Linked DNA regions of Caenorhabditis elegans. The protein of the gene in region 2 interacts with the protein of the main gene of each other region in a pairwise test. Each region holds a gene or a part of one and is shown on either strand. Other genes may lie near its edges. The genes, in order: sir-2.1 and ftt-2.

Region 1 (5,232 bases), on a different chromosome or scaffold from region 2:
AAAACAATTATAACTCATGGTGGATGGAGTAGTATTTTAGAGACAACAATGCATTCGAAACCAATGATTTTAATGCCATTATTTGCTGATCATGCGAAGAATTCAAAAGTTGCAGAATCTAAAGGAGTTGCTGTTTTATTGGATAAAATGAGATTGAGTCGACGAAGAGTTGTCCATGCAATTTACACGATTTTGACCAATCCAAAGTAAGATTTTTGCTTTCACTTTAAAATACTCAGACTGGTCCCAAATACCAAGATACCACAAAACTACAACGAAATGAATGCATTAAATTTGAAAAAATATTGATGATTTTAGCGATTTTTGAACTTTCTAATCTCATTATTCTATCAAAAATTGGAAACAGGAGTCAAAACCAAACAAATTGCGGCACGGAGAAATGGGCGTGGTTTTTTTTTAAACCAGTCTGAGTATTACAAAGTTTGTTTAAAGTTAAATTAACATTGACGGTATTCCAATTTTAAATATTCTAATGCTAATAATGTACTTCGATCAACTAATGTTGTTTCAGATATACCCAAAATTGCGAAAAATTCTCCCGAATGTTTTCTGATACTCCAATTCCACACGAAGAACTTATTGAATGGAGGATTCGACAAGCAGCTAAGCCATCAAGAAAAGCTTTTGCAAAACATCTTCGACCCAAAGAGCCCGATTTTTCATATTTAAAACTTGGTTTTCTCATTATTCCAGCCATGATACTCTACGCAAAACATGGATTTTCAATATGGACATAATAGAATGAAATTTTTTAATTTTATTTTGATGTTTGCAAAGAATTGAAAAACAATTTAAAGTTTTAAAAGTTTAAACACACAATAACAGATGAAAACGCGTTTTTCAATGGGATTTGGTGTAAAATTGAGAACACAAGAGAAGGAAAATTGAAATTTTTTAACATGAGATTCAGATACGCATTTCTTCACACAAATGCGAGAATGTTTCAGGATCAATCGTTTCAGATAGTTCATACTGAAAATCTCCATCACATGAATCGGCTCGTTGCAAGTCCAGATGTATCGTGTTTTTTCGATCCTGTAATTAATAATTTATAGATAGGTTTTCGCGGAAATGGCAGAAGTAGTGTTTAAAATTTCAAAAACTGTTCTGCAGCTTTACATTTTCAATTTTTCTTTGACACTTTTAAGAGCACCTCAAGAAAGTTTTTATGATGAACTAACCTCGTCAGATAGTACAAAGTCATCTAGCGATTGTGCTCTAGATAATTGATTTGCTTCTGAATCGGCATTTGATGAGCAAGACGAACCACACGAACTTTCGCAATGTGTCTCGTGATGAACATCACGAACCAGTTTCAATGTTTCTAGATCAAATGAGCATTCGGCTCCAGGAAAGACGGTTTGATGAGCAGAAATCTGAAGAAAAAATTATTAATTGTAAACTGGTAGGGTTGTTTAGAAATATTTTCTAACTTTTAACTTTTTAATTTTCAAAACCACTCACCGCGACACACTTATTGTCATGGAGCATCTCAGTAATGCTCAGCAGCCTTGGATGCTTTATTTTCTTGAGAATATCGTCCGAATTCCGTGTATCATCGTCATCTTCTGACTTATGTTTTTGTATTTCTTGGAAATTATTCTTCTCGGAATCCATCGAATCGTCAGCCACCGACATTCTTGGTTTCTTCAATGTTGGCTCATCACTCGAATCATCATTTCTTTTCTCTTTCATACAAATATTCAAAAAGTCTTCCTGTGAAATCAACTGTCGTTTGTTTTGTGAAGGCTTTTGTGATTTCGTTTTTCCTTGTTGTTCCATAATCGAATCATAAGATGTAATCAGTTCAGTGAAGGAGCCTCCAAGACTGAAACAGATATCTCTGATGATGTCATCACAATTTCCGAGCAATTCAATATCTGCATTATAATGTGGGAGGGATTCTCTGTTGATTAGAATTTGTGGAACATTCTTATCAACACAATGTGGAATTAATGCAACTGGTCGAACTTTGAGAGAAGATCCAATAACTACAATGAGATCTACTTTATGCTTGTCTTCTGTAACATGTTGATGAAATTCTCTTCCGAGATCCTCTCCAAAGAATACAATATTCGGTTTGATCACTCCTTCGCAACGTTTGCAATGGGCAACACGCATAGCAAGAACTTCCTCACGAATCTCATTCCCATCATATTTTTGTCCACAACGTGTACATGTACATTTCGAAAAGGATCCATGACATTCCACAACTCTTTTAATTCCAGTCTGATGCTCTAATGTATCGATATTTTGAGTGTAATTTCGAAGAAGACGACCAGAAGTTTCAAGCTCTTTGATAAATCGATGTGATACAGATGGTACGAACTGTCCTGGGAAGATTTCCTGAAATATTTAATTTTTTTTTGGATATTGAAATTTTTGAGACAGCGTCGCTGCAGCGAGTTCAATTGGGATTTACTAGAGAAATGGAACGTTAGAGGAGAATAGAGTTTGTGGGGTTTTCTTTTAAAATTAAATAGAACTGTCTCGAAACAAACAAATATCATAAATAATGAGACTTCTCAAAAAAGTTCGAACAAATTTTTCTGGCGGCTGAGAATATCGAAAAGAGAGAGCCAAATTTTGCTAAAATTTAAAATTTCGCCAATTTCAGATTTTAGCAAAATGTGGCTCCTTTTTTCCGATATTCTGGCCCGCCATAAAGTGTTCGAAAATTTTTTGAAAAGTCTCATTGTGAAAAAAAATCGGGCTAATTTTGGTATATTTAAGCAAAAATTGGCAAACTAAACTTATTGATCTTATTAGCTTAAACACAGTAAAAGGAAAAATAACCTACTCTCGCAAAATTGTAGAACGGAGCAGGATTTTCTCGGAAGTAACGAATATCGAACATTGCTGTCGGATCAGGAAGATCGGGAAACTCGCTCCGAAGTCGTGCATAAATACCATCTTTACTTCGAAAATCTGGAATTCCACAGGATACTGACACTCCAGCGCCAGTCAACACAAGAATATGTTTCTTTGTTTTAAATAGTTCGACTGCATCTGCTAGTGAGTTGTAGTTTGTGAGTTTCTGCCTTACAGGAGCACGTTCTAGAAGATCGCTTAATATGGCGAAATGCTGAAAATTGGTTTTTTTTTCAGGAAATTGTCAATTTTAATTTTTTTTTTAAGTACCGCGTTCTCTGACATTGTTGCAATTCGTGATGCATTAAAATCAGGAAAAATTTGTTGAATAATTTGTAATGGAGTGGCACCATCATCAAGAAGTCTTTGAGCACGACGAAGATTCGACATCATTTCGTCCTGAAAAATATTAATTTAGAAACATTTTAATCTCCTTGGGAATTTATCTTCATTTTTTGGCGAAAACTCACATTATTTTGCCAAGACTCTGAACTGACACTGGTTGTACTTTCTGTTCTTTGTCTACTCGAATCTGTGTTTGTTTCGGGTGCATCGGAAATATCTGTTTCTTGTGTAATGTGCATAGAACCGATTTCTGGATTTTCCTCCGTTATTTCTTGCTGAAACATTTTACGTTAGGTTGTTAGTAAGGAAATTTTAAAAAAATCTAATAAATTAACTCACCACTTCCCCGTGTGTGACCGCAACTTCTGAATCGTTGCCACTATCACGTGACATCGTTTATCGATATGATTAATTTTATTAAAAGTAGACCAGAACTGAATACGAAAATCAATTCAAAAGTGAACCAACTGCGTCAACGGGAGATACCAAATGCGCGTCAACAAACGCTGCATGGCGCAAACTGCCGTCTTCATGAATGCAGAGTAAAACATGGTTTATTATGAGGGAAAAATGTAGAATTTTAACTAAAATGAGATCCTAGCTGGTAAAACATTGAATTGATTCAATAAGACAAATAGGATGAGAAAGATAACAAAAACACAGCAAACAATAAGGCACTAAATCAAGGACTAGTCTATATTAACAATTTCAATCTTTTATTTTTGACTTCTTGATTCCAATGCTTTTCTTCCATCGTGGTTTTTGACAAGTGCATCCATTTTTCGCCACCATTCAGCAATTTTTTCTTCTAAAATAACTTCTTTGAACGCTGAGCATCCATAGAAAGAATTCATAGCTCCATATAATGACTGAAAATATATCAGATTGTAAATCCTTCTCCAAAAAATCAAACCAACCAGATCAGCTAGATTCGGTTCATCTCCTCCTAAAAACTGTCTATTTGGTCCAATTGCTGCCATCCAGTCACGACAAGCCTTTCTCAATTCTTCTCGTTCATCATTGATGTTGTGCCTTTAATATCAGAAATCATGATATAAACTTCTAACTAACTTACTTTTTCTTCAATGTTTTTGAAAGTAAAAACATTGCTGCTGCACCCACGTATACCGCTAGAACTCTCTCCCAGGCTGGAAAAGTACGATGCCAGTCGCCAACTTGTTCGAACCAACGGAATGTCTCGACAGACTCATTCCAATTACGATATACATTAGGAGAAATAAGATGGATGAACCAATTGTCCACCCATTCTCTCCATTCCCGCTCTTCTCTGGCAGAAGCCATATTTGCGTCCCCGTCTACTTTTCCCTTCATAACGAAGAATTTGTTAGGGTAGTTGAGAACCTGAATCAGCAAGGATGTTTTAAAATTGCAGAGTAATTCAAAAACCCACTGGCTTTCCTTTCTCGTTTGTTGAATCAACTGCTGGATACATTTGTATTATCTGGTCGAGTGACTGATCGGGTCTTTGAAGATATGTTGCCAATGTGGAAATAATCAAAGTAGACTCGGTCATAGTTGTCTCGCCACTCCTGAGAATTGGAACCTGAAAGAAAATAGATAAAACAACCGGAAATGTGAATGAAAACTTACTTTTTTATAAGTTGTGCTAAACTTGATCTGTGATCTAGTGACTGGATTTACTTCTACAACCTCATAGGAGAATCCGTGATAATCTAAGAAGGCTCGAACCTGTATTTTTGATTAATAGTTTTCATACTTCACACAAGAGTAACGCACCTTGCAACAGAACGGGCAAGTCTCGTATTGATACAATCGGAGCTTCAAGTTTGACTTATCCAGGTGATTAATAACTTTTCGACTGAGGAGGACATCATTCTGCACTTTCTCGGGTTGCTGAACTTGAATTGGGCATGTTCTGAGTTTTGCTGTTTGGATATCGTCCAGCTTTGATCCTCCCCACGAGAATCCAGCCAAAGAAGCAATCTGGACTGTCCGTACACCAAAAAAACGCAT
Region 2 (4,314 bases):
TGTTCATTTAATTGTAAAGTGGTACAAAAGTAGCTCGTTCCCAAAACCCTGCTCTTTCTGCATAGAACTATCTCAATTACCAGTGTACCAATTACCACTCCTTATATTATCGGCTGTAAAAACCCCAATTTTTTGGTTGTTAGCTGGCGCCGCCACCTGGCGTTGCAAATGAAACCTACCCGTCCAAATAAGTAGTTTTCAAGTATGTCACTAACCAAAATTTTGCTATATCTGTAAAGCCAATTTAACTAGAAATAAACCTATGAAAGTGTCATGTACCGGAGATTTAATCCAGGACTCCACCTTTTCTTATTCCTCAATGAATATGAACATTAAATTCTAGTTTTCATCTTTGTTCATATCTATAATAAATGAAATAAATTTTGAATTGAACCTTAGCAAGTGCCTAAGACGTAGTAGTTATCTTGGTTAAGGAAGAACAACCTGCAATAACAAGATGTCGCTAAAAGAAAACGTTCGTTTCAGTTTTCTTTTCTCATTCGAACTTTGTTCAATTGCACTAATTTTTATACATTTGGATGTCAATCGGAATCCTCCCCTCTTAATATTTCTTCGACGTGATTATCTGCGTTAATTTCTCATATTGAAGTTGGTGTTACAACTTTATTATGTGTATTCAAAAGCTTGGGGGTGTTTCGAATGTCGAGATTTGAAAGGGGGAAAAGCCGTAACAAAACGGAACATTGAATTGTATGGGTAGAGACGGGAAGTTTTGATGAGTGGGCTCAGCACAGAAATTTGAATAACTTCTGCATTTGGTTGATGGGAAAAGGGGAGTGATTGATGAATTTATAGAAAAAAATGGAAAGAAAAACGATGGTTTAACTAGTCAATGGTAATAAATAAATCATATGACAAATAGTATTATTTATCATTTTCAAGATCGAGGTGAGGGGTGTGTGGCGGTAACGTGTCGGTGTGAAGGAGTTAGTTGCCTCCCTCTGTCTCGTTGGCATCAGTGTCATCGGTGGCAGCGTCCGAGGTCCAGAGAGTCAAGTTGTCACGGAGAAGCTGCATGATGAGGGTAGAGTCCTTGTATGAGTCCTCGTTGAGGGTGTCGAGCTCAGCGATGGCGTCATCGAAAGCCTGAAAGATTAAAGGTAATCAATAGCTTTGAAGTTACGATGCTATGTCAAAAACTTAACGAGCACCTGCTTGGAAAGCTGGCATGCTCTATCCGGGCTTGCTGCTACTTCATAAAAAAACACCGAATAATTGAGTGCAAGACCAAGGCGAACACAGTTCGTTGGTGACAGATCTTTATTTGCAATTTCAAGTGCCTCCGCGTAAGCCGTTTGTCCAATGTTGGCTACTGCTAAAATAAAATAAAAACATTAACACACCTGCTTGGCAAGCTGGCAAGCCTTGTCCGGGGCGTTCAAGATCTCATAGAAGAAGACAGAGAAGTTGAGAGCAAGTCCCAGGCGGATTGGGTGAGTTGGTTGCATCTTATCCTTGGCAATGTCGAACGCCTCTTGGTAGCTTTGCTGCGACTTCTCGACAACCGCTGCAAAGAAGGAATATTCATTTCTGGTCTTCTTTGAAACGAGTATGACTATGAGAGGCAGAACTCCCTAGAGGAGAACCCCCAATGAGCTGCCCTAGAGTTTATTTTCAAAAACTACGCATCGATGTGGAATTGGGTCGCGCCTGAACTCCCGTTCTCTGTCTTCCCTATGATATCTTTCCACACTTCACACAAGGATGCATAGCTTACGAATGAGGGTTAGAAACGAGTGCACGGTTATGTCCCAATTACAGTCATCATTTTCAATCACTTACAGTTTCTGTCGTCTCCGGAGGCGACCTCAGCGAGGTAACGGTAGTAGTCTCCCTTCATCTTGAGGTAGAAGACCTTGGACTCGGCGGCTCCAGCCTTTGGAATGAGGAACTTGTCGAGCAAGTTGAGAACGTCTTGGCAGATGTCGCGGAGCTCCTTCTCAACCTTCTCACGGTATTCCTTGGCCATTTGTTGCTTCTTCTCAGATCCTTCGGTCTTCTGCTCAATTGAAGAGATGACTCTCCATGAAGAACGACGGGCTCCGACGACGTTCTTGTAGGCAACGGAGAGAAGATTGCGCTCCTCGTTGGAGAGCTCAGCTCCCAGCTCGGTGACCTTCTTCATGGATGCGGCCATGTCGTCGTAACGCTCAGCCTGAAATTAAAGTTTTAGTATTCAAGAACATCCTGAGACATCTACATACCTGCTCGGCAAGCTTGGCGCGGTTCACGAGCTCTTCCTTTCCGTCAGACATAGTTGATTTAGTTGCTTGAAGTGGATGAGTCACTGAAAAACGAGAATATAAAGAGTTTGATACAAAAAGGTCAAATGAGAAAGAGAAGAAAGAGGGCGGTAAACAAATGAAGATTGTTTGAAGAAAGCAAAGAATGGCTCCTTTCCGTATTCTTATATGATATGAAACTGATGGGACATTTTCATCTCTTCTAACACGAGGCGTATGAGCCCTTGTAGAAGTATACACAATGCATCAAGAAGAAACGAGAAGGACGTTGTCGAGCGAGTAATGTTGAACAGAGTGAGCGGCACCCCTCCCAGCCCTCCCTCTCGTTTTCTGTGCGTCTCTCCCTATCTGCCGAAAGGAGCGCGCACCATCATTTTAGGGTCTGTAAAAACCATTCAAACTGCGAATTTCAGAATAAAAATTATATATTCTGAGAGGGGAAAGTCTGTTTCATCAGCTAAAGTGAAGAAAATATAAGTTTTGATATCTGTGTTTAAAAAGAGCCGTTTGGCGCGCTACAAACACACAATTGCGGAGTGATTCGAGGGGGCTGCCAACAGAAAACCGCCGCCTCCTACGACTCATAAAGGGTCTCTTTCGCAATGTGTCAACAAGAGCGCGCACCACATTTCTTCTTTGAAGGAAGTCAACATAATTTCAGATATATTAGATGAAAATTAGATATTCGGGTTCGTCTTTTTCCGGGCTTTTAGTTGACTAGAAACTCGGCCTAAAATCTTGAACTTTGAATATTTTTGTGCAGAAAATAGGACGAAAACATCGGACATGCGGAGGCTTCTAGGGGGCTGCCTTTTGCCCACCCACCAGGCGCTCGGTCGTCATTTGAAGTCGCTCTGTTATTCAAATAGAAAGAGCGCTCACCATAACTCTTTGGGCCATAATTTACCTTCAAATTATCTTGAGTAATGTATGGTCTGAAAATTTGAAAATGTGACTACAGAAGCTTGCCGTTTTCAAAGTTAAATGATGATTCTTGCATGTTCCTGGATGTTTCTGGAAACTTGGAGCAAATTCAAACAATGCGGCAGCGCTTTGGGGGCTACTTTGACGACCGCTGCAGACTTGTTCTAAATCAATGACCAGCGGCGGTGGGCTCGGAGGCTCGGAGCTGATGCGGTTGGCTCTCGCTTCACAACAGCCTAGGATCGAATATGCAGGGCGCGTAAACATGCAGGCAAAACAGGCTGATAATCGTGTTACTTAACTTGAAAGTGCCTGGTATTTGCCTTAAATTACAAAGGAGATTCAGAAAAATAATTAGCATGATAAATTTACAATTCTAAACTACATATAAGGCCAGGTTCTATTCATTCTTTTCATTAATTCATATGTAGAATTTTACAAAAATGTTTATTACAATAGTATCTGTAATTTTTCCTGATGTTTCTGAAACTGTAACTGGTATTTTGTACAAACATCCATATCAATTAGAATTGGTGTCGCGGAACACATCCGACTGTTGTTTGATCTTCATTTTTGTTGTCTTCACTTCCGATTTTCGAGGAAGTACATGTACATCTTCATTCTTCCTATCCCGAAACCTTTCAAACCCCATTCTATCAAAACAGAATTAGGAACAACAGATGCGTGGTGTGGTGCGCAACTATACAGAGACCTTCAACGCAATTTACGTCTTATCTATTCCACATCTTCTTTCACCGTGCAGTGAGGTATACTCTTACTCATCAATGAGAACTGTTGTCTTACGGGAAAGATTCAAAAACCAGTGAACCCACCTTCAATTTGAAAAATACGTTTCTAAATATATTTATTCGCATTTCTCAGACTGCCCCAATTACCAAAATGGGCTTTTCATTTTTGGCCATTTCAGGATTAGCGGCCGACGGAGCAGTGAAGTCGTGGGAACCTATTAGATGTTTGGTCAAGGTTGTGCCCAGACTCCAAATTGTTTTGAACAAGGCACCACCTGCTGGTCATTTTTCAAATGTTCTTTCTTTCTGAAGGTCCTCTGAGAGATGGAAGGATGTTTGTAGTTTTCTTTATTACGACCACTTTACAATTCAATTCG

Evidence for each region.
Region 1: the proteins of ftt-2 (region 2) and sir-2.1 interact in binary tests that used the Caenorhabditis elegans proteins (3 or more experiments, as listed by UniProt).

What each region holds. Positions count from the first base shown.
Region 1 is NC_003282.8:10,362,559-10,367,790, forward strand, and holds sir-2.1 (NAD-dependent protein deacetylase sir-2.1), read right to left. Parts: upstream 3,672-5,232; 5' UTR 3,631-3,671; coding exon 3,577-3,630; intron 3,513-3,576; coding exon 3,363-3,512; intron 3,292-3,362; coding exon 3,163-3,291; intron 3,107-3,162; coding exon 2,822-3,106; intron 2,368-2,821; coding exon 1,486-2,367; intron 1,398-1,485; coding exon 1,203-1,397; intron 1,057-1,202; coding exon 928-1,056; 3' UTR 760-927; downstream 1-759. Other genes in the region: ugt-59 (glucuronosyltransferase), read left to right, coding at 1-206, 533-758; pges-2 (Prostaglandin E synthase 2), read right to left, coding at 3,954-4,106, 4,155-4,269, 4,313-4,599, 4,649-4,801, 4,849-4,947, 4,996-5,232. UniProt on the Caenorhabditis elegans protein: NAD-dependent deacetylase. Involved in metabolism, apoptosis, response to oxidative stress, response to DNA damage, and determination of lifespan.
Region 2 is NC_003284.9:11,603,105-11,607,418, forward strand, and holds ftt-2 (14-3-3 domain-containing protein), read right to left. Parts: upstream 2,316-4,314; 5' UTR 2,277-2,315; coding exon 2,226-2,276; intron 2,177-2,225; coding exon 1,804-2,176; intron 1,529-1,803; coding exon of another isoform or gene 1,365-1,528; intron 1,337-1,364; coding exon 1,173-1,336; intron 1,108-1,172; coding exon 949-1,107; 3' UTR 604-948; downstream 1-603. UniProt on the Caenorhabditis elegans protein: Required for extension of lifespan by sir-2.1. Required to modulate lifespan, in concert with hcf-1, acting redundantly with 14-3-3-like protein par-5. Promotes nuclear export of yap-1.